Linked DNA regions of Xenopus tropicalis. The protein of the gene in region 1 purifies or fractionates together with the protein of each later gene. This does not show direct contact. Links are inferred from orthologs where the notes say so. Each region holds a gene or a part of one and is shown on either strand. Other genes may lie near its edges.

Region 1 (8,673 bases):
TCTTTTGGGGCCCCTTCTGCCACTGGGCTTCTACAGCAATACCAACTGTACCCCGCTAATGGCAGCTCTGTCTCTAACACAGAACAAATTAGGAAATAGTAGATGGTAGCAAGCAAAATGTCACATACATCTGCCCAACAACCCATCAACTATCACAAGTTTTATTTTCAAAAAGTAAGAATTTTAATTAAAAAAAAAAGTTAAGCGTATGGAAGAACATTCCATGCAATAAACTCCTTTCACAACAGTCTATTCAAGGAGAAAAAAAAACTCTTAGCTGAAGTCTTTGTGACATGATAACGTTCTGTACTCCTTACATAATCAGTACTAAAATTACAACTGGCATTTACATTTTGCTTTTCTAAGCAGGCCCTAATGCTTTGGATAGCGAACTACTATATTTATAGAAAGCATGCAGCACTCTCGTTCCATATTAAAACAACCAGCACTGTGCGTGGTTTCAGAAAGTTCCGGAATACAGGAAGGCCTTCTCACATAGGCCCCATAATAAGCAAAAAATTAAAATTTTTAGGAGTGATACTCTTTTTTTCTGTAATAAAACAGTACCTTGTACTTGATTTGAACAAAGCTGCATCAATCCTTATTGGTGGCAAAACAATCCTACTTGGATTATTTAATGTTTACATAATTTTTAGCAGAAACAGTATGTTGCTCCATATTACAGAAAGATCTCTTTTTTTAAAAACCCCAGGTCCTGAGTAGTCTAGAAAAATTCTGTACTTGTTCATATTAAATTTTCATCACAATGAAGAAAGAAATTTATAGGAATCTAACTTACATCTGCACCTTCCAGTGATTTTTTTAGTACAGCAACAACTTCTTCTTGAAAGGCAACCTCATCTACACATTTGGGTCGGCTGCATAGAAATATACAGGAAATGTTTATAAAGCAAGCAAAAGCTTTTTCTAAAAATTAAAACAAATAAGGAAATCAGAATCACTGAACTCATAATAAACTACGATATAGCTTTGTGAGAACAGCAAACTGCACCTGAGTATGTTTTACCTTCTCTATACTAGCTATACCAGTATCATTATATCAGGAATCTTCTGAAGGTGCCTAATTTTGGACATATAAAGACCCAGTTCAACAGAAAATACAAAGATGAGGAGTCAACCACAACAATTATGAAAGTGCTATAAATAAACCAAAAAACACAAGCAGAAGACAGGACAATCTGTGTTGTATAAAGTAAAAAAAAAAAAAAATCTTCACAGACATCTTTCTAAATATGTTCTCACAGTGCCCTCTAATGGCCAGTGGCTATTTACATTATAATTTTACATTCAATACTGTACAATGTTTGCTGCCCAATAACATTATTATTAACATATACCTATAAAGCACCAAATATTCCATAGTGCTGTACAATAAATGGGTTTATACACTGAACACACACACATATATATATTATATATAAAAATAAACTAAACTCAGAAACCCAATATGAACCAACCTCATAAACATATTTCAGATGTGTCAGTATTACTGTCCATGAGAAATTTAACAGAACCTGTAGTTCATATTAAGTGAATTTAAGAAACTTAACTTATAATTATTGAAGCAGCAACTAAAGCCCAGAAATATAACCTTGTGTGACACTGCACACGACTGCGGTCTTTGTGCTTGTAATCAGTCACATCAAAAGATCTGCGCAAGCTTAAGTGGTATCCACGTGTAGATGTGAACATATGCATGCCAAACTGGTTATGTTATGATGTCACAATATTGAAGGGTACCAAAAGCAGCAAAGAAGGTAAACAGAATGATCTAAACACCCATAACTTTGTTAGGCACAAATGCAAAAGGCTATGGGGCTGATTTATTAAGATGGGTGCTATATGCACCAGTGCAGTTACCCAGAATAACCAATAAGCTTGTTGATTTCATTTTCAAACTTGTAACTAGTTGCTTATTGTTTACTGTTGGTTACTGCATAGATCAATTTTTATTAGTAAATTAGCACCTGTAAGCACTTTGAGGGAGGCCTTTTTTTGATTTGTTTATGCTTGTGTTATTATTTTTATTCTGCCCAACGCACTCTATAGCACTGCTTAATATGTAGGCAATTTTAAAATAAACTATGCAACAAGAGACTTTTGTGTGTGGATAGGGAGTTATTTTCACCCCATTTTAAGTTTTTCATGGGACCAGAAAAAAATGGTGCAAATTCTGGGAAAATGTAAAATCATGGAAGTTTATTATGTGCTATATATTAGTGGGACCACAAAACAATAGTCTAAAATGCACGAAAACTTAAAATCAGGGCATGTAAAATTGAAGTTTCACTATAATACAGTTTATCGCTAAATTTTCTCTTATTAATTATGCAGTTTTTGTAAGCACATTTAAATAAGCTTTAGCTTTTCTTTAAAATAACTTTACAGCAGTCTGGCTTATAATAACAAAATACTCCTCAACAGAGCTAATGAAAAAGCAAAATAAAAACTTATACAAGTTGCCAACAATATAAACCATCAGCATATCATATAAACTTTTTTAAACATTTTTTTTTACACAGAAGCAGCCCAGGGAAAAAAGTACATTAATTATTTCAATGAAGGAAGGCTAAGAAACTGGCACCTCCCCCCCCCACTTTGTGAATGTAGTTTTCCTTGTCCTTTAACGATTCAAGGAGAAGATTTAGCTTGTTGTTTCAAGTTTCAGTTTGAACAGTTCTATGGACTTGTCCTTTAAATCTTAAGCACTTACTACCCAATGATAGTGCTCCTCGTGCTTTCTTAAAATGCCACTTTCTTTCTAACAATAATCCTTCCCCAGTCTTCAGATATAGAATATAATATAGTTTTCTTAATTTTGTGGTCGACCATTTGATGTGGACAGAAGTGTGCACGTGCTTTTTAATCCCCACAGGACAGCACCCAGAAGAATTACTTTGCAGGGCTCAGAATCTCTGTTGTGTGCATGATCTGGCCCAAGTCTACAAGAGTTTAGCACAACACAAAAAATGCAGCAGTGTCATGTTAGTCCTTCTTCTAACCCCTACCCAGGTGATTGAAAGTATGTGTGAGCTGTTGCTGATGAAGTCCTATTAAATGATAACCTTCCTTGTCCTTGAACTTATATTTTCTATTTTCTCATGGGGAAAAAGGGAATATCAGAGGCAGAAAACTATGCTTAAGGAAAAGTACACAGGCCCATTGTACCAGGAAATACCAAAAAAAGAAAAAAAAAAAACAACATTTTCCAAAATAAATCACAAATTTCCAGTCTTTATGTGTATTCACTAAACTGTGTCATGCAAAAGAATATACATTTCTTTTTTATTGTGCAAATTAGCACTGATACCTCAAAAGAAACACTAGGGGGCCTATTTATCAATATACAAATGGTTACAATTACAAAAATATCATATCTTTTCTAATTTATATAACCGAGTATTTTCCAAAATGTTTTTGTTAATTTCCGCAACTTTTTTGTGCGTTGCAACAATTTGTGCAACAAAATCGTATTTGTCGCAACGAGTACGAAGGTTTCGGAATTCATTCAAGCTTCAGTATCGTGACTTTCTTCTGGCCAGGTTGGAGCTGCAGAGTGCCACTGAGTCCTTTGGAAAGCTTCCCACATCATGCATTGAAGTGTCAAAGTTAGAAAGGGTTTTTCACTGTTTACGATTGTTGGGATACGTCATTTTTGTGACTATAGGATCGCCATACGCAAACGATCGCTTCAATCCAAAAATTTCGGAACTTTCAGATCGTAAGCACGAAATTTTCGTATTGAAATGAAAAGAATTTGTGACATTTGTGATCATCGTATTTCGTGATTTGGAATTGTATATTGATAAATGGGCCCCTAGGTATTTAGTTTAAAAGGAAGTCTCACATAAAACACTATATGTGCTAATTAAAAAAAGCTGTCCAGCTAATAATCCAACTCAACTCAAATACTAACAAGCTGTATTTTGGAAAAAAAATTGTAATCAACTTAAAGCATGTAACAGCATTATCAATTGTATGCTTTAAACAATCATTACTATTTTTCCACCCATGGAACAGGCTTCTGTTTTTTGCTTTCCCCGGTGCTCCCTGTGCCAGATGCAGATGCTTTATCTTTCACAGGCTTGGTGCTGATAGATGTTCCTCCTTTTAGAAAAGCCTGCATTGTGACAGCTCTGTAAAAATAGTAGCAAGGACTATGTATATGACTTATGAATTATAATGCAAATCAAAATGTATTATATATACATGCTTATTTACAATGATAGTAACAACTGAAAAAGTATTTCCACCAACATAAGTATCTTGGTCAATTGCCAACATTACTTGTGGAAGGCAGCTAATTTTAACTAGTGCTGATAAGAGATATAAAATGCACTTTTTATCTATGTTTTTAGGTTGACAGCCCTAACTAGAACAGAGTTGCACATATATCATTATTTATGTAATATTGGAAATATGTCAGTAGCTTTAAAATCAGCACTGTTCCTGTTGTTATACAATATCATTCTTAGAAATGTCAGTTCTACAACTAATAACTTTGCAGGGCACAGCAGGGGGTCCCCAAACTCGTGAGCCACAGTCAAATGTAAAAAGACTTGGGGAGCAACACAAGCATCATAAAAGTTCATGGAGGTGGCAAATAAGGGCTAAGATTGGCTATTAGGCAGCCTCTATGCACACTATCAGCTTACAGGGAGCTTTATTTGGTAGTAAATCTTGTTTTTATTCAACCAAAACTTGCCCCCAAGTTCAAAAATAACTACCTGGTTTGGGGGCACTGAGAGCAACATCCAAGTTCAGTTACTGATTGGAGATCACAGGCTTACAGCCTGGGTCAAACATCAGTGATACAAGTGGCCAACCAGACGTGACATGGGCCATGTGGTGACTGAGAATCCTGTTACAGAGCTCTATATTCTGGCCACTAAAACAGTTCAAGCAGGGCAATGCTGTGGTTCAGCAGGGGGATTTGAAATGAAGAAAAACCAAATAAACTTTAGTTTTTCTTGACAGAGCAACGTGCAAGGATAGCAGACAACAATAAAGATGCATTTTCATGCAACATTACTTAGCAAGTGTCTGAGTGAACACTTATTTATATATATTAATTTAACATTTTCTCCAGTAGTTATACATTTTGCTGTTATCGAAATTTAACAGCCGTCAGATCTGTTTTCAGTCAACAGGTCTGTTAATTAGCTTGCTTCTGCTACTCTGTCTCAACAGTCAGAAACACCAGTACAGAAAAGTAGCCAAACACTGATCTCAATGGCAATTACATTTAGAAATTAAGTTTAAACACTGAAAACTTTTAATGAATACATTGGGCCAGCATCAGCCCCGGCTGTACTGCATTTACTTGTACCACCGGGCCCCTAGCTGTCAGTAAGCTACAGACTTCAAGAGTGTGGTTGCTAGGGTGCCTGCATGTTCTTTCCCCTACTCAGCTTTCATACTATTCAGAAGTCCCACTCTTCCCAATACAGCCCAACAGTCCCAATTTTCCTATTGCAATCAGCAGGCCCGGAACGCTACTTACACCTCCCGCGAAAATGTAGCTGCAGCCTCTCAGCCTACTGTGTTACAGAACGCGGGACAACTACACGCAAGCGCAGTGACGCAATCACGTAGCCGCCTTGTGGGAGTGACAAGTAGGCGTAATTCGGCGTTTTACAGTCAGGCGCTGCTAGTAAGTGGCGGCGGGTCCTGTCACATTCTGTTTTGTTAAGTCGTGCCTCCTACTTTTGTGAAAGAAAATAATACTTATATTATAGTTTCTGCTTGCAGTTCAAACTCACTGCCAGAGAACCAAGAAACTATACTTTTTGCTGTTTGGTAACCGTACCTGTGGCAATCAGAGCCTTCTCCCAATCTGACCAAATAGGTTTTGTGCAAACTAGGGGCAAGTGAAATTGTCATCATTTTAATTTCTATTTGTTTATTTCACGTTTATTTTTTTCTGAACATGTAGTTACAGTAACAGTCTCACGCTCAGATCTACGTTGCAAAAACCTTTATGCTTATATAATGTCTCAATCACAGGTAACAGTTTATTTCCAGGAGTCAGGGATCTAGGCTCTAAGATTAGGCAAAGGTCCTCCAATGTCATTTTTTCGGAAATTTTGCCGGTGCCACGTGCAAGTTTAGGGAGACAGCGGGAGCTTAGGGAGCTAAATGCGTGGCTAAAGTCTTGGTGTAGGAAGGAAGGGTTTGGGTTCCTAGAGCACTGGGCTGACTTTTCCTTGGGGTACAATCTATACAGCCCTGACGGATTGCACCTCAATGGAAGGGGGTCTGCTGTGCTAGGGGAGAGAATGGTTAAGAGGTTGGAGGAGTGTTTAAACTAGACAAGGGGGGGGTGGGTGAGCTAGAATTCCATGGGAAAATTAGTGTAGACGGGGTAGGGGGACTAGCAAAGGGTTGTGGGGGAGGAGTGAGGGGGGCATATAGTTTATCAGATAAGGAGCTTCCGTTACAAGGAAAGCAGTCTCATAATTGCCTTAGCTCTAATTCTCCCTTAGCTAATGTAAACATCAGAGGGAGAAGTAATAATCTCCGCTGCATGCTGGCTAATGCGCGTAGCTTGTCGGGTAAATTAGGGGAGCTGCAAGCTATTGCATGTATTGAAAATTATGATTTAATAGGTATCACTGAGACCTGGTGGGATGATAAATGCGACTGGGCTGTGAATTTAAATGGTTATACACTTTTTAGGAGGGACAGAGAGATTAAAAAGGGTGGAGGGGTTTGTCTTTACGTAAAGTCAGACTTAAAGCCATGTAATAAAGACATTACCAATGAAAACGTCGAATCTCTTTGGGTAGAAATTTCAGTAGGGCTGAAGGTCACAAAGAAAATGATCATTGGTGTATGTTATAAACCACCCCGTATAGATGAGGGGGATGAGGCCCAGCTATTGTTGCAAATGGAGGAGGCTTCAAAACTGGGTCAAGTTGTTGTTATGGGGGACTTTAATTATCCGGACATTGACTGGAGTAATGGGGTGGCTAAGTCAGAAAAAGCTAGTAGGTTTGTAAATATGCTAAATGACAACTTTTTATTTCAGGCAGTTCAAGAACCCACTAGGAATGACGCTATTTTGGACCTGGTGATTTCTAATAATAATGAACTTATCTCTAACATTTGTGTGGGTGAGCATTTGGGGAACAGTGATCACAACATGGTCTCCTTTGAGATAATGCTGCAGAGACAGCGCTATAAGGGAGTAACTAAAACACTCAATTTTAGACGTGCAGACTTTGCCAGTATAAGGGCATCTCTGCAATGTGTCAACTGGGAAAGGCTTTTCATGGGGTTAGACACAGAAGGAAAATGGAACATCTTTAAAACATTGCTTTGTAGGTATACACAACAGTATATCCCCCTAGTAAGCAAGGAGAGGCATCGCAAAGCAAAACCTTTATGGCTGAATAAAAGTGTTATTGTCGAGGTTGGTAAGAAAAAACGTGCTTTTAGGGCATTCAAGTTAGCTGGGACAGCGGGGGCTTTCATCAGGTACAAGGAAGCAAATAAAGCATGCAAAAAAGCTATCAGGCAAGCTAAAACAGAGATGGAAAGGGATATTGCAGCTAGGAGTAAAAAGAATCCAAAATTATTTTTTAATTATGTGAATAGTAAAAAAATGAAGCAAGAAGGGGTGGGAACTTTATTATCACGGGGGGGTACGTTGGTTGATGAAAACGGGGAAAAAGCTGAAATTTTGAACTCTTATTTTTCATCTGTCTATACATCTGAGGAGCCAGATAATGAAGGCTTCCCTTGTAATATGCCCAGTTCTAGTAATTTAGCTACTGACGCATGGGTCACTCGGGAGGAAATTCAAAAGAGACTTGAACATGTAAAGGTAAACAAAGGTCCAGGGCCGGATGGGATTCATCCCAGGGTATTAAATGAGCTGAGCGCTGTGATTGCCAAACCTCTTCACTTAATTTTTCAGGATTCATTGAGGTCTGGCATGGTGCCAAGAGACTGGCGGATTGCTAATGTGGTGCCGTTATTTAAAAAGGGATCCCGTTCTCAGCCTGAAAACTATAGGCCTGTTAGTCTGACATCAGTAGTAGGAAAACTTTTGGAAGGGGTAATAAGGGATAGGGTACTTGAATACATTGCAGTTCACAATACTATTAGTTTGTGCCAGCATGGTTTTATGCGTAACAGATCTTGCCAGACTAATTTAGTTGCCTTTTATGAGGAGGTGAGTAGGAACCTTGATGCTGGAATGGCAGTTGATGTCATCTACTTGGACTTTGCTAAAGCGTTTGATACAGTACCTCACAGAAGGTTAATGATCAAATTAAGGAATATTGGCCTAGAACATAATATTTGTAATTGGATAGAGAACTGGCTGAAGGATAGAGTACAAAGAGTGGTTGTAAATGGAACATTTTCTAATTGGACCAGTGTGGTTAGCGGAGTACCGCAGGGGTCAGTCCTTGGGCCTTTGCTGTTTAACTTGTTTATTAATGACCTGGAGGTGGGCATAGACAGTATTGTTTCTATTTTTGCTGATGACACTAAATTGTGCAAAACTATAAGTTCCATGCAGGATGCTGCCGCTTTGCAGAGCGATTTGACAAAATTAGATAACTGGGCAGCAAACTGGAAAATGAGGTTCAATGTTGATAAGTGCAAAGTTATGCACTTTGGTAGAAATAATATAAACGCAAA
Region 2 (7,477 bases), on another chromosome or scaffold:
ATAGGGCACCCTGTGGGGAGCGCAGCTCTGCCCCTAGGCACGGACACCCCCCAAACACAGGATTATAGGGCACCCTGTGGGGAGCGCAGCTCTGCCCCTAGGCACGGACACCCCCCAAACACGGGATTATAGGGCACCCTGTGGGGAGCGCAGCTCTGCCCCATGGCAGTTACACCCCCAAACACGGGATTATAGGGCACCCTGTGGGGAGCGCAGCTCTGCCCCCTAGGCACGGACACCCCCCAAACACGGGATTATAGGGCACCCTGTGGGGAGCGCAGCTCTGCCCCTAGGCACGGACACCCCCCAAACACAGGATTATAGGGCACCCTGTGGGGAGCGCAGCTCTGCCCCATGGCAGTTACACCCCCAAACATGGGATTATAGGGCACCCTGTGGGGAGCGCAGCTCTGCCCCCTAGGCAGTAACACCCCCAAACACGGGATTATAGGGCACCCTGTGGGGAGCGCAGCTCTGCCCCCTAGGCAGTAACACCCCCAAACACTGGATTATAGGGCACCCTGTGGGGAGCGCAGCTCTGCCCCCTAGGCAGTAACACCCCCTGGAGATAGGGCAGTGAGCTGGAATATTCTATGTGCATCCCACCCCCTCCCATAGGGGCACTGACTGCCGCCCGGAGACTATTCTATGTGCATCCCACCCCCTCCCATAGGGGCACTAACTGCCGCCCGGAGACTATTCTATGTGCATCCCACCCCCTCCCATAGGGGCACTAACTGCCGCCCGGAGACTATTCTATGTGCATCCCACCCCCTCCCATAGGGGCACTAACTGCCGCCCGGAGACTATTCTATGTGCATCCCACCCCCTCCCATAGGGGCATTAACTGCCACCTGGAGAATGACACTACAAAAGGAGGTTATTTTGTAAAACATTTAATATTATTAAAAAGGCTGCACATGATTAGATAAAATGTATTTGTATGATACAGGGTTGCCCAGGCAGAGAGCCAGCAGGGAGCTGCTATAGAAACTGTACAAAGGAAATTTACATGTATACACAGTGCACTCACCTCAGTATATTAGCAGCCGGCGGGCACACAGCTCACTATAGTGTTCCAACATGGAATAGTACAGAGTATGTGCCCTGCCATATATAGGAGCCCGGCCTTGTTTGGTACTGACCCAACACTGTTATTACAATTAGTAACACGGAGGCTCCGCTCTCTCTGATACAATTCCAAAGCCACAGAGAGACCTCCCGCAATGGAGCCGCACGTTATGGCGCAATCACACACACACACGCTATTGGGCGCCGGAAGGCGCTACAGCAGTCCCACTGGGTGGCAGTTTGAGGGGAATGTGTAGCACCGACTGCCCCAGCACAGTTAAACACATTAAGGAAAGGCTGCTGCCAGGCTGCTCACTGTTGCTTTAGATAATTCTAGATGGATGCCTTCAAAATAATGGAGAAACCTGGGGGGGAAAGAATAAAAGAATTAATTCCCAGACACAGTCCTGTTTTGTTCCCATGGGTGGGGCAATTGGGCAGATTCAGGGCAGGCTGAGTATTATTAGAAGAGAAAACCCTTGCACTACAGTATAATATGGGGGGCACGATGTGTAAGTCAGACACAAATATGTAACGACTTGCAATAGTAGCATTACTTGTTCCATAAATGCTACTATTGGTTGCAGGGAAAGTTCCAGCACAATAACTACTAGAAGCCACTAGAACGGAACTTACTGCAGTGGCAATAGGAACAGTAACAGAAATAGCCACTCGTTACTAGTCAGTAACCCACTATTGGCTCACTGACAGCTACTCGGCTTTTCAATTTTCAAAGATGTTAAAGGATTTCAATGAAAGGTTGCTGTAGGTGTCCCGCCGCTGCCGCCAAGCTGTGTTTCCTGTAACCCAGGGACCCCCAATAAAAGGTTGCTGTAGGTGTCCCGCCGCTGCCGCCAAGCTGTGTTTCCTGTAACCCAGGGACCCCCAATAAAAGGTTGCTGTAGGTGTCCCGCCGCTGCCGCCAAGCTGTGTTTCCTGTAACCCAGGGACCCCCAATAAAAGGTTGCTGTAGGTGTCCCGCCACTGCCGCCAAGCTGCGTTTCCTGTAACCCAGGGACCCCCAATAAAAGGTTGCTGTAGGTGTCCCGCCGCTGCCGCCAAGCTGTGTTTCCTGTAACCCAGGGACCCCCAATAAAAGGTTGCTGTAGGTGTCCCGCCGCTGCCGCCAAGCTGTGTTTCCTGTAACCCAGGGACCCCCAATAAAGGTTGCTGTAGGTGTCCCGCCGCTGCCGCCAAGCTGTGTTTCCTGTAACCCAGGGACCCCCAATAAAAGGTTGCTGTAGGTGTCCCGCCGCTGCCGCCAAGCTGTGTTTCCTGTAACCCAGGGACCCCCAATAAAAGGTTGCTGTAGGTGTCCCGCCGCTGCCGCCAAGCTGTGTTTCCTGTAACCCAGGGACCCCCAATAAAAGGTTGCTGTAGGTGTCCCGCCGCTGCCACCAAGCTGTGTTTCCTGTAACCCAGGGACCCCCAATAAAAGGTTGCTGTAGGTGTCCCGCCGCTGCCGCCAAGCTGTGTTTCCTGTAACCCAGGGACCCCCAATAAAAGGTTGCTGTAGGTGTGCCGCTGCCGCCAAGCTGTGTTTCCTGTAACACAGGGACCCCCAATAAAAGGTTGCTGTAGGTGTCCCGCCGCTGCCGCCAAGCTGTGTTTCCTGTAACCCAGGGACCCCCAATAAAAGGTTGCTGCAGGTGTCCCGCCGCTGCCGCCAAGCTGTGTTTCCTGTAACCCAGGGACCCCCAATAAAAGGTTGCTGTAGGTGTGCCGCTGCCGCCAAGCTGTGTTTCCTGTAACCCAGGGACCCCCAATAAAAGGTTGCTGTAGGTGTCCCGCCGCTGCCGCCAAGCTGCGTTTCCTGTAACCCAGGGACCCCCAACCTTTTTGACCTGTGAGCCACATTCAGATGTAAAGAGAGTTGGGGAGCAACACATACATGAGAACTATTCCTGGGGGTGCCAAATAAGGGCTACAATGGGCTATGTGATAACCCCTATGGGTGCCGGCAGCCTACAGGAGGTTCAGTCTGGCAGTACACCTGGGTGTACTTCCCTCAAAGCCAGCAATCTAAAAATAAGCCCCAGCTTTGAGGCCACTGGGAGCAATATCCAAGGGGTTCCCCCCGAGCCGCTGGTTGTGGATCACTGCTGTAAGCAGGCTGAGTAGCACCCCCTGCAGTTTGTGAAGTGCTGTGTGAGAATAGGGCACCCACCTTCTCTTAGTTTTCTCTTGCTCTTTCAGTCGTTGGGAGCGGCACATAGAGCGCAGGGCGGGTAGGTACTCCGTTACATTGCACTGCCTGTTGCCCAGACTGAAGAAAGATCTGCTGGACAGAACTGTCCGAACCACAGCCAGACGCTTCTCTGCCACACTGCAACACAAACAGTACAATGGAGGGGCTGTTTCTCTCCAAGCTGGTTTTATTTCCCCCCACCTGCCTCGCTGTACCCTCACCATCTCCCCACGCCTGCCCCACACCCCGACGTCTCCCTACACCTGCCCCACACCCCTGCCCATGCTATACTTTTACTCATTTCAAAGGCAGTAAAATGCTTTTAGTCAGAGGAATAAGAATTACCTGGAGCTGGTTTCCCCCTGGCAGAAGCAGACATTACCCCTCTCTTCAGACACGTGCAGAGTGAGTGCCTCAGTGGGGGGGTGGCTGGATGTTGTGCAGGTTTCCGGTGATGGAGCAATGGCTGCCGACAGGTTAGACAAACACTTCTGAAAGGCAAGAGCTTCTATGGTTGCTCTGACTTCCCCAGAGCTCTGCCTGTTGCTCCAGTCCCTGGTCTCTAGCCTGAGCCCATCACACAAACCATCTTTTATCCGACTTTCAGTCCAGTTGCCATTACAAAGCTCTGCTCGGTCCATGGGATTACATGTAAAGCAGTCTATCTGGGACATATTATCCACAAAGTCTGCAAGCGAGCCCAGGCAGTGGTGCACTGAGGCCTTCTGCCCCTCCTGTCTGTGCCTTTCAGAGGCAGGGTGTGCCCCACATTCCCCTCTATCAGCTACAGGGGGGCCTTTCTGTTCTGCCTCCTTTTGGGATTGAACACCAGATACCAAGCTAAATATTTCATCCACAGAGTCACTATCAAACAAATCACTGTCGTTCAGGATTAGGAGCTTCTTTCTCTTTTTCATCTGCACCGACATTTTCATTGGGCTCTCATCAGCCGTGCCATTCTGCTGTAGCCCTGCTGGGGGGCACTCTGAGCTCTCCAGGGGCACAGCTGGTGGGCCAACATGAACTGGCAGTGGAAGAAGGAATTCCAAATTGCTTAGTGTAAAATACACATTGTTCAACTGGAACTCAGTAAGCAGCTGCTGAAGCACATTCCCTTCTTGTTTCTGGGTATTCTAAAGGGAGAAAATATATCATATGAACTGCACAACAGGAATTGCTGGATATACATACAGTTTGTTAGAGTACAGGCGGTATGTGTAATATATACGTGTATTTGTACAGATATACAGGGACTGTGGGGTGTCACCGTGCTCCCCAGGGCACAAATAAGCCCTCACCCCAAATCCCCCCCTAACTGGCCTTCAGGGTGGGCCCCCTTAGCCCATAACAAGGTTACAGATATATAGAAACATTGGGGTAACAGATAAAACACATGAAAGTTAGTGCAGACACAGCAGAAAGTTAGAGAAATGACAGAAAACCTTAGGGAATGTGATTAGTGAGTGCAGCTGGGGCTGTGAGTTGCACCACTCAGTACAGATAATACAGGGTTAATTGAAAGGCAAATCAAAGTCACTCACCTTTATAAAGGACAGAAGACCCTCTGTCGGTGAAATGATGTTATTAAGACCCATGAAACTCTCTGTGCAGCCAATGTTGCATGTTGGGAGCTCAGTGATTGGGCCGCCCTGCTGGCCTTGTACAGGAGAGAAACAGCATTAAATGGCACAACAGACATCAATGGAAAGAATCCACATGCAGCCCCAACAAAACAAACAGAACCCCAGTTTATCTAGTGCGGGATTGCCCCCCTTGGGTCACACATACATGTACATTACAGAAGAGGCGGGTAGGTACTTACGGCAGAGTTGCGGCGGTGGCTTTTCTATCAGTGCGCCCCCCCCACTACTGGCCCAAAACTGCAGATGGAGAAGGCTCTGCCTGATGTCACACTTATTGGCAGATAGAAATGTAAGAAAATCCTTTGTTTCTGTTCTGAGGTTTTCAGCCAAGCAAAGAACTTGCAAGTAAGTGGCAACATTGGTCTGTAAAAATAAGAACATTGTCCAAACCCAAACTGCCCCTGAACCCCCCATTATATGTGAACCCACCATCTGACCTTAATAGGCAACTTACCATTGAAGGGGCTTTAAAATGAATATCTTCAAAGATGCCATCAAACATGAAGCCAAATGTAGGATCTAGAAGGGGGACACAATAGGAAGGGGACACAATGAGAGAATAGTTACTTCCTGTCCAGGGAAGACTTTCTTCCCCTACTGGCTGCTATGTTTAATGGCTACTGGCTCGTGTCTAAACTACCTAAATAGTATATTTTTTAACAGAATGTATGCCTTCTACTAGTCACACCCCATTTGCAGAAGCAGCCGATTCACAAGGTACCCTGCCTTTGCACAATGTTCTATATACAAATATACAGAGTGGCCCAGTATGCAGATTCTCTGTAAGTACTAAGTATTCAGTGGATTCATTTGGCACCTTGGGCAAAAGAACAGCCGTGGGGCTGGGCTTACCGCTCGTGGTGAGAATCACCGGCCGCTTTGTGGTGCTCATGAAAGTCTTGATCGCACTCACAAATCCAACATCATCATCAAATATTACATCTACCTGCAATGATAACACAGAGGAGAGGGCAGTGTTGCCAGACCAGTCAGGAACTTGCCAGATCCCACAGAGCAGCAGGGGCCCCAGGTACCACCATTACAGGAGCCCCTGCATTAGCGCTGTGTGGGGCAACTTAGCTTTATAATGAATAAGTGAATATACCTCTTCAAATAGAATAAGTGAGGTAGCAAATTTTCTGTGTTTTTCCTCTGATCCAGATTCTTTTTCTGCAGTTGCATCTTGACTCTTATGTGGCTTAGTTTCGGCTTCCCTCAGTCTGAGCGTACCCTTGGCAACTCCTGCAAAATGCACATAGGCCTGTTAACTGCAGATATGTAACCTCATTATTACTGTTCCAAGTGCATATTGATAAGGGGACTGCATAACAGATACAGGTGGGCCCTAACCATCTCCTTACTTTAAGTAGCACAACAGATGGGCACACTGATTGGCTCTACTATTCTAAGTCCCCTAATAAGGGAGCCTGTAAGCACAGAAAGAGTGAGATACAGGTGGGCAGTACTACTCTCCTTCCTATAAGGTCACTAAGCCCAACCATAGGGCGAGGTTGCTCGGAGATGTTAGATAAAGCCAAATAACTACAATAAGGAAATGATTTGGCCTTTCACAGTAATGCCCTGGTAAAACTAGGAAAGCATCCCGCCATGTCTGACAACTGGACACTAGAGGCCATGGTTTGAGTGCAGCCCACAGATCTGTAATAGCACCCAGTTGCCACATGCCCTTTAGCCCCCGGCCCGTTGTTAGTCAGTACCTTTAGAAGCCTCTGCAGCATTGGGTTTCTCTTCGGTCCTCTTATTAGCAGGCGGTTTGAAAAAATTTGCCAGAGACTTTGGTGCCAGCCCTTTTCTAAGTCCTGTGCCTCTGGGCGAGGCCGGCGGTTTCCTTGGGGATGAAACCACATTCTTTGGAGAGTTCAGTTTTCCTTAAAGTGAAAAAGGGTAGATAACAATCTGGGACAATATGCAACTGACTCTGTATGTATTTGCCTTTCAGATCAGGCTTTAAGCTGAAATATGAAATGACTGATTGCTGTGGTCAGTGGCACCTAACGCTGAGTGAGCATAGTGCCTCGCCCAGTGGGTAGTGCCTCACTTGTTCTTCTATTCATCGCCAGTCTACTTAGTGTGATAACAGGGCCATGCACAACCTCACTTACTGGGAGACTTTGTGGAGCTGAAACTGCTAAAGAAACATGGTTTGTGGGAGTTCGCCCCTTGCTGATCCACTTGGTGAGACTGTGTGGCTTCCTTTAGCTGTGCCAAGATCTGCCTCCCACTGCGCTGGCATGATGCGTTTACTTCAAATACCTAGAGAGAGGGTTAGAAAGGCTCTCACACAGACAAATAGAAGGATACGGCACAGGCCTGGCATAGCAGCCAGTTTATTTACCTTTAAGCCAAGCTCTTGGGCACACACTGCTGCTGTTTTACCCACTCCGGGAGGGTTAGAAAGGCTCTCACACAGACAAATAGAAGGATACGGCACAGGCCTGGCATAGCAGCCAGTTTATTTACCTTTAAGCCAAGCTCTTGGGCACACACTGCTGCTGTTTTACCCACTCCGGGAGGGATAGAAAGGCTCTCACACAGACAAATAGAAGGATACGGC
Region 3 (8,175 bases), about 61 Mb from region 1:
GTTCCAAGGATCCTGCATGTCCATTGTTTCTAAATCTGTCAGCCTGTATTGCAGTACTGCCACTAGCCCCCCCCCCCCCCCCCCCCCCCCCCAAACTTTTAATAAACCTACTCCCTTGATATTACTAGGTTGTAAATGCATCCTTGTGGGTTGATTGGAGGTGTGTGGCATATAAATCTGGTACTATATTTGCAAAGAAGCATCAAGCAGTACAGCATTAGAATAGCCTTGTAAGTAAGTCGTTGGGCTGAAAGGTACTGAGGAGAAACAGGAAGTAGTATCCCAAAATAGAACAGTGGAAAGCACAAAGGGAATGTTGGGTCGCCTTGCATGCCCCCCAAGCTCGTTTCCCTAGCTGCACAGACACTCCAATTGTAGGGCTGCTGAAAAATGAGCCTTATATCTGACTTCAACATTCATGAACTCATTCATAGAGGAATGCATTTATTTATCTGTTTGCTGGAATACAGATTCCCCCAGAGGCTGGCTTACACTCCAGTGACCTCTTGTATGTGATCTTAGAAACCTGAAAAGCAGACAGGAACTTTGTTGTAGTAGTCCTTTGCTATTTGCCTTCTGGCCACATAAAAAGCCACTACAGAATTCCACCAAGTAGAACATTTTGTTAGGCTAAACATTTGTGCATGTGCTCTTACTTTCAATTTCATATTAGTTCGACATACACATACTGTGTAGAACATTGTGTGCACTGAGACTAAAACAGTTTTTTGTCTGTCTTGACTTGTTGGGTATAGATTTTCCTCCTGCTGAGCAAAAAAAAAAACTGGAAAAGAGGGTGGAAATACAAATACAAGAGTAGTATGTAATTGAATTAACAATAGATCATCATTTTGTCTGAAACCAAAGAGATGCTTGAGTTAATGGCACACATGGCAGCTTCCAGCAATAATTGATAGACTGAACCAAGCGACTGTTGGCCTGTCATACTGAAAGTGATTGGGGTAATTTTGAGTGTTTTGGGGTGATAAGTCAAGCAGGCATTCAGCCATACTTAGGACATTAAAGTATAGATATGTATTTTACAGCTCTGCAGGTTATGCAGACTATTACAGGAGTAGGCTGTGTTAACTGGAATGCTTGGGAACTGGGGTTTTACGTATAAAGGATTATTTGGATCTCCATACCTTGTCTGCAAAAATGAATTATAAAATTAAATAAATGCAATAGGATTGTTTTGCCACCAACATGGATTCACGTAGCTTAGTTACCATCAAGTACAAGGTGCATTTTTATTATTACAGAGTAAGGAAATTTTATTTAACAATTATATTTGCTTAAAATTAACACCATAGAAGATGGCCTTCACATAATTTGGAGAATTCTGGAAAACTGTTCCTGATAAAGGATGCCATACCTGCACATTAATGATAAAAACAATCTCATTTTGTGCTTGTGGAGATAAATACTGTACTTGCTACTTGTGAAGTTAGTCTGTGAGAATTACATTGGATTTAATTTCTTGATCATGTAAGAATAGCTGCAAGTGTTTCATTGTAAGTGTATGGATGTGGTTTATAGCTTCACATTCTTATTTCTAGATGGAAAAGATCCAAAAGAGAAGAAAAGGGGTGTGAAAAGGCCACGTGAGGACCATGGTCGTGGCTATTTTGAATATATTGAAGAAAATAAATATAGCAGGTAGGTACAGTTTTGTCCAGTGCCATTCTACTTTGCATTTTTACATGGCTTTAACTATATTCTTATTTCAGGGCAAAGTCTCCTCAACCACCAGTTGATGAAGAAGATGAGAAGTTGGATGATACCATGGTACTTCTTGATACTTGTAAGTCTTTCAGATTAAGTTATTTGGGAAAACCGTGTTCATTAATGTACCCAGGATAATGTATTATCTGCTTTTCTGTTGTCAGTTTTAAAAAAACCCAAAAGAATTTTCAATTTGGTTGTGCCGGCCACCCAGTCATCCCAGGGCTCTGTTTAGACCAGGGGTGGCCAATACATTGATCGCGGTCCACCAGTCGATCCTCCGTGGATTTCTGATGGACCGCGATGAAGTTGGGATGAGGAAGTGCTGTGTGAATGCGTACGTATGCTGCATCACATACGCATTCACGCTGCATTTCCGCATTCCCCGGTGGACCAGCGTAGATGTTTGGACCAGCGTAGATGTTTGGACCAGCGTAGATGTTTGGACCAGCGTAGATGTTTGGACCAGCGTAGATGTTTGGACCAGCGTAGATGTTTGGACCAGCGTAGATGTTTGGACCAGCGTAGATGTTTGGACCAGCGTAGATGTTTGGACCAGCGTAGATGTTTGGACCAGCGTAGATGTTTGGACCAGCGTAGATGTTTGGACCAGCGTAGATGTTTGGACCAGCGTAGATGTTTGGACCAGCGTAGATGTTTGGACCAGCGTAGATGTTTGGACCAGCGTAGATGTTTGGACCAGCGTAGATGTTTGGACCAGCGTAGATGTTTGGACCAGCGTAGATGTTTGGACCAGCGTAGATGTTTGGACCAGCGTAGATGTTTGGACCAGCGTAGATGTTTGGACCAGCGTAGATGTTTGGACCAGCGTAGATGTTTGGACCAGCGTAGATGTTTGGACCAGCGTAGATGTTTGGACCAGCGTAGATGTTTGGACCAGCGTAGATGTTTGGACCAGCGTAGATGTTTGGACCAGCGTAGATGTTTGGACCAGCGTAGATGTTTGGACCAGCGTAGATGTTTGGACCAGCGTAGATGTGATCATTTGGCCAGTACATGTCTGTCTGAAGACTTTATAACCCTTTCTTTTGATAATGTATAGAGACTTTTTAACCATGCCGTATTGTATGTAGGTGCTGTGTATAGCTTCTCAGCTAAGATGTTGTCTATCCATAATCATATTTTATAGATAACTGTGATCTTCACTTCAAAATTTCTCGTGATCGCTTAAGTGCATCATCACTTACCATGGAGAGCTTTGCACTTCTCTGGGCTGGAGGGAGAGCCACTTACGGTGTATTAAAGGGGAAAGTTTGTTTCGAGATGAAGGTAAGTGCACTTACAAATGCAAAAGCTGTCTCGAACCGACAACTGTTAAATTTTACTTTTTAACCAATCAAACTTATTTTCTACCCCCTAGGTAACTGAAAAGATTCCAGTTAAACATGTATATACAAAAGAAACAGATGTTCATGAAGTTCGTGTTGGCTGGTCATTGAGCTCCTGTGGATACATGCTCGGTATGTAGATAGTAAAGGGAGAATATATCCCTATTAATAAAGTTTGCTAGGCTATAGGTATCCTTCATGCCAGCAGACCTTATCTGTCTTTCTAGCTAGAATTTTGAAGTAGGCCATCCAGCCTCTTTGGCATTGAATAATGCAATATTTCTAAGTTGGTTTTCCATTCCTCTTGAGGTTGTGTTTACAATTTTTGACTTTTTGCAGAACTTCACATAAAGATTAAATATAACCTGTTAATGATCCATTTAATATGCCTTTTAAATTAGGTCTGTCAGTCTTGAAACACATTTAACAGTCACTGCTCAGAAATGTTATGAGGGATTTGCATAAAAATAAATCCTAAAAATGCCTTCTCATTATATAGCCAGCATGTCCATGAAGTTATGTTATCCAAGACAACTGGGGTTTTCATAATTTTGAATTAGCATACTTTAAACTGCTAAATATTTAAAAAATTAAATCTGCTATAATTGTTTGGTTGCAAATATAGATTCATACAGCTTAGTTATGATCAAGAACAAGTTGCTGGTTTTGAAAGTGGAATTAGTAAAAAAAAAACAAAACAACTTTATGGGATATGGCCTTCCTTTAATTTGTATCTTTCTGAATAACTGGTTTCATGGCAAAAGTTACCATATCTGTATTATAATTTGGAAAACAAATACATTAACAGCCTAATACAATTTTATTTTTGCTTTACTAGGGGAGGAGGAAAATTCCTATGGTTATTCTCTCAAAGCAGCAAAATGTTGCAATGGTGTTGCTGAGGATTATGGAGAGAAATATGATGAGAATGATGTGATCACTTGCTGTGCTGTGAGTAATTCATGTTTAATTCCCATTAAAACATCTTGTGTGCTACAGTTGGAGTTCTTTTAAATTTGGCAAAGTATAATGAAATATCTTGCTTTTGATTGGGTTAGCATTTAAAAGTGGGGACACTAATTTTGATCTTCACTGGTTTTTTTCTGTTGCAGAATTTTGAAGAAGATGAAATAGAACTTTCTTATGCAAAAAATGGCCAAGACCTTGGAGTTGCTTTTAAGATTAACAAAGATACCATATTGGAGCAGGCTCTCTTCCCACACATTCTCTGCCACAACTGTGCCGTAGAATTCAACTTTGGGCAAATGGCAGAACCATTTTTTTCTATCCCTGAAGGCTATACATTAATTCAGAACGTTCCTTTAGAGGACAGAGTCAGAGCACCTCTGGGGCCAGAACAAAAGCAGGATTGTGAAGTAAGTATATTTGAAAGTAAACTGAAGAGAACAGTTTTTTTTTCTTCTCCCTCTTTTTGCATCTTTCAATTCATGTTGTCTGGTTTTGGGTGTAAACTATAGGTGGGAGAACTGGAAAGACATTTAGCCAGTGCTTATTGTTGCAGATACTCTAAGATCACTGCTCTGTAGTGCTCCTCAAAGCAAATTAGGCAGAAGGGTGTCCAAGCACTTCTGCCTTGTGCTAGTGCTGAGTTCATCTGGCCTTGGCATGTTTGCATGTTCTCTGTTTCTGTGTGGGATTTCTTCCACACTCATACAGGCAGGTTAATTGCTCATGATTAACACTGATCATGTTGGTGCTATTTAAATACTGGATAATAAAATCTTTACTAGGTTGAAGATAAGTGATACACACGCTTGCCAAGGACAGTTACTGTTAAACTTCATTGGAACTCTTGTTGGTTAATTTATCTTGTGTTTTTATGTGTGGTATAGTGATATGGTTATTCGTGTCATAATGCTTAATATGTGCTCTTTTTTTTAGAATTAAGAATACAAATACATTTATTACATTCAGAGCAAATATGTTTTTTTTTTTTTTAAAGGTTATAATGATGATTGGCTTGCCAGGTGCTGGAAAAACAACATGGGTAACTAATCATACTGAACAAAACCCTGGCAAATACAACATACTTGGAACGAACACTATTATGGAAAAGATGACGGTAAGAATCCTAATATATAATTTTGGTATGTTAACCTTTTTTTTTTTTTTTTTTTCTTGACATTTTTACTTTAAAACCCTTTTCTTTGTAGGTTGGCTGCAAAAAGCAAATGTCTGACACTGGAAAGTTAAATGCTTTGCTGCAGAGGGCCCCACAGTGCCTAAGCAAATTTATTGAGATTGCTGCTCGCAAAAAAAGGCATTTTATCTTGGATCAGGTAAGTTTTTTTTTTATATATATATATATATATATATTATTTATATTGCCATTTTTATACAGGGCCTTAGAGAGACATACCTTGACCGGCAGTGTTTTCTGCTTTCAGGCAATTGTTAAACTTTGTTTAGAAACCTGCTGTCTTCTATATTTTGTTAAATAAAAAATATAATTAATTTTAGTCATGTATGCTTTTAAATATAAATAAATTGTATATTTACCGTTGGCTAGTAAAAATTTCAGAAAACTTACCATAGTCTATAGAAGTAAAATACAAGTTAACCTTTTCTCAGAAGAACCTCAGTAATTGAGGTTGGTAATTAGAAATGTTATTAACTAATGTAGCATATTGTAACAATTTAAAAAAAATCTGAAGTTTTTGCATAAGTAAAGGAATTATTCAAAAGGTGAAAAATGAAACTTTAAATTTTAGTATTAGAATGTCAAGTTATTTCTGATCTATTAGAAAACAGTGGGAGTGAAAATATTTTAAAGGCAAACAATTCTTTAAAGTGATCCATAATTTCACATGTTAATATGATAATTATTAATACAATAACAAACCTTGCTTTCAGCATACAGGGCTTTTTTTTTTTCAATAGAAATAAGTCCATTTTACCTCACTTTGTATAAAACTTATAACTGAAATATAAGCTATAGTAATTAAGACACCTTGAGCTTTCTAACCTTTAAATGCAGTATTTTAAGTACAGGTGTGGAATATATTGTACAAAATACTTAGCACCAGGGAGTCTTTATACAAAATGGAGCACCCTGCCATAAGGCTACTAAGGTGCCTTAATAGTTTTCTAATAATAACCAGAACAGCAAAATCTATTTGTAATCATACAAGGCCCCTCTGCCTTTCATCAGGTTTAAGCTGTAGTGTGTGTGTACATACACTATCAAACTGATTTGTTTCTTGTGTTGAGTGGTGCAAAGTGTTCCAGCTTTGCCTTCCTAAAGTTAACATTTTTTTGTTTGACATTTCTTTTCTCTTTTGCAGACAAATGTGTCAGTAGCTGCACAGAGAAGGAAAATGTGCTTGTTTGCTGGCTTCCAACGCAAAGCAGTTGTTGTTTGCCCAACAGACGAGTTATATAAAGAGAGAACACAGAAAAAATCTGAGGTGGAAGGCAAAGATCTTCCAGAACATGCAGTTCTCAAAATGAAAGGTAAGTAGATTTCCATGTTCTTGATCGCCATTGAGCCTCTTCGCAAGGCAGTTTTTCAGAGCTTATGGCTTCTATGCTATGATCTGACACAAACTTGTTATTGGTCTCTAATTTCTACTTTACTTTGTAACAACCATTCTGATATGGTGCTAATATGATGGCCCCTGATAGAGCACATTTTTTTTTTTCCCTCTCAGGTAACTTTACTCTTCCAGAAGCAAGTGAGTGCTTTGATGAAATCAGTTATGTGGAGTTGCAAAAGGAAGATGCTGATAAACTTATTGAGCAGTATAAGGAGGAGAGTAAGACGTCCCTTCCACCAGAGAAAAAACAAAACATTGGAGCAAAGAAACCAAACAAGAACAAAAATACCAAAGGCAGAGGTGGTATGTCTCACGGTCATGGACACAGAGGCCGGGGAGGTGGAGGATACAATATGCGTGGAGGAAATTTCAGGGGTGGAGGTATGTTTGCACCATGTAGTTGTACAGAATATTGTATACATTTAGTAAAGAGGGCTGAGGCAAACATATCAAAGATGACTTAGTTTCAGAATTTGTTCATTGACCTTTGTCAAAACCACCTTAAATATTTAGGCAGGGGTTCAGTGAAGCTGTGACCACAACAAGAGGTCCTCTTGAGAGAGAGATGCCCTCCCCTTTAAGCAACAGGGATTGTTTGTCCATATACTGCAATATACATCCAGCTGGCCAACTATGTCGGTCATCCATGGTCTGGGCAGTCCTACACTTGCTTTTATCTGATTCATTAAAACACCCAAATGGTTGCCCTTTTATTGGCTCATTGGGATCACCTGACTGTAGCTGGAAAGGGTGGGGGTTACAACATGACGCTTACCACTGCTTCTGTGCAAACTAACAAAAAAGGGAAAAGTTGTGCTCACCGCTAAATTTTAAACCATTAGGCATAAATTTAATAACTAACTATCTTGTAGCTCCAGGAAACCGTGGAGGATACAACCGAAGAGGAAATATGCCCCAGCGTGGTGGTGGAGGCGGTGGTGCCGTTGGGTATCCATACCCCCGTGCACCAGTCTATCCTAACAGAGGTGGCTATGGTAACCGTGGAAACTTCAACCGTGGCGGGGGCGGTGGAATGCCCAGCCGTGGCAACTACAACCAGGTAAAACTTTATATTAAGTTTTAATTGTCCCCTCCCATCTTTCTTTGTGCCATGTTTTAGGAAACAAGGGGGGAATTTGGTTGCTAAATATCTTAATTGAGAAACTCTGCATTGCAGTTTATTGACCTAGAATTTTCTCTGCAGAACTTCAGAGGAAGGGGAAATAATCGTGGCTTCAAAAATCAGTCTCAGGGTTACAACCAGTGGCAGCAGCAGGGTGTAAGTATCTCTCACTGAAATTGCTTAATGACTTGCAAACTTTTTTTCCCTTTTTGCACCCTATATTTTTTTTTAATTTTTTTTTATTTCACTGAGCTACTCTAACACACAGACATTTGCCTCCAGCTTTGGCCATATTCCTATAAAATCTTTTGCCGTAAGTTACATAGGATCAATTTTATTACTACTTGAACTTCTTGGAATTAAGTCTGGATTGGGCTCCTAGGTTAAAGTAGTGGGATGAAACTTAATCAAATGTTACACA

Evidence for each region.
Region 2: the proteins of rfc4 (region 1) and atad5 purify together in Homo sapiens (affinity purification with mass spectrometry; 5 studies listed by BioGRID and IntAct, counting the BioPlex papers as one, with this or other methods). This does not show direct contact. The link is inferred for Xenopus tropicalis from reciprocal best matches to the Homo sapiens genes RFC4 and ATAD5.
Region 3: the proteins of rfc4 (region 1) and hnrnpu fractionate together in Homo sapiens (co-fractionation; 3 studies listed by BioGRID and IntAct, with this or other methods). This does not show direct contact. The link is inferred for Xenopus tropicalis from reciprocal best matches to the Homo sapiens genes RFC4 and HNRNPU.

Annotation. Positions count from the first base shown.
Region 1 is NC_030681.2:105,883,862-105,892,534, reverse strand, and holds the start of rfc4 (replication factor C subunit 4), read right to left. Parts: upstream 5,539-8,673; 5' UTR 5,525-5,538; intron 4,158-5,524; 5' UTR 4,148-4,157; coding exon 4,020-4,147; intron 879-4,019; coding exon 800-878; intron 1-799. UniProt on the Homo sapiens protein: Subunit of the replication factor C (RFC) complex which acts during elongation of primed DNA templates by DNA polymerases delta and epsilon, and is necessary for ATP-dependent loading of proliferating cell nuclear antigen (PCNA) onto primed DNA.
Region 2 is NC_030686.2:51,945,318-51,952,794, forward strand, and holds the end of atad5 (ATPase family AAA domain-containing protein 5), read right to left. Parts: intron 7,177-7,477; coding exon 7,026-7,176; intron 6,792-7,025; coding exon 6,621-6,791; intron 6,145-6,620; coding exon 6,008-6,144; intron 5,849-6,007; coding exon 5,755-5,848; intron 5,422-5,754; coding exon 5,357-5,421; intron 5,266-5,356; coding exon 5,082-5,265; intron 4,917-5,081; coding exon 4,801-4,916; intron 4,393-4,800; coding exon 3,605-4,392; intron 3,398-3,604; coding exon 3,239-3,397; intron 1,437-3,238; coding exon 1,358-1,436; 3' UTR 881-1,357; downstream 1-880. UniProt on the Homo sapiens protein: Has an important role in DNA replication and in maintaining genome integrity during replication stress.
Region 3 is NC_030681.2:44,496,794-44,504,968, reverse strand, and holds part of hnrnpu (heterogeneous nuclear ribonucleoprotein U), read left to right. Parts: intron 1-1,559; coding exon 1,560-1,659; intron 1,660-1,730; coding exon 1,731-1,804; intron 1,805-2,875; coding exon 2,876-3,015; intron 3,016-3,106; coding exon 3,107-3,206; intron 3,207-3,912; coding exon 3,913-4,025; intron 4,026-4,186; coding exon 4,187-4,450; intron 4,451-5,037; coding exon 5,038-5,157; intron 5,158-5,248; coding exon 5,249-5,374; intron 5,375-6,379; coding exon 6,380-6,548; intron 6,549-6,745; coding exon 6,746-7,012; intron 7,013-7,503; coding exon 7,504-7,691; intron 7,692-7,835; coding exon 7,836-7,910; intron 7,911-8,175. UniProt on the Homo sapiens protein: DNA- and RNA-binding protein involved in several cellular processes such as nuclear chromatin organization, telomere-length regulation, transcription, mRNA alternative splicing and stability, Xist-mediated transcriptional silencing and mitotic cell progression.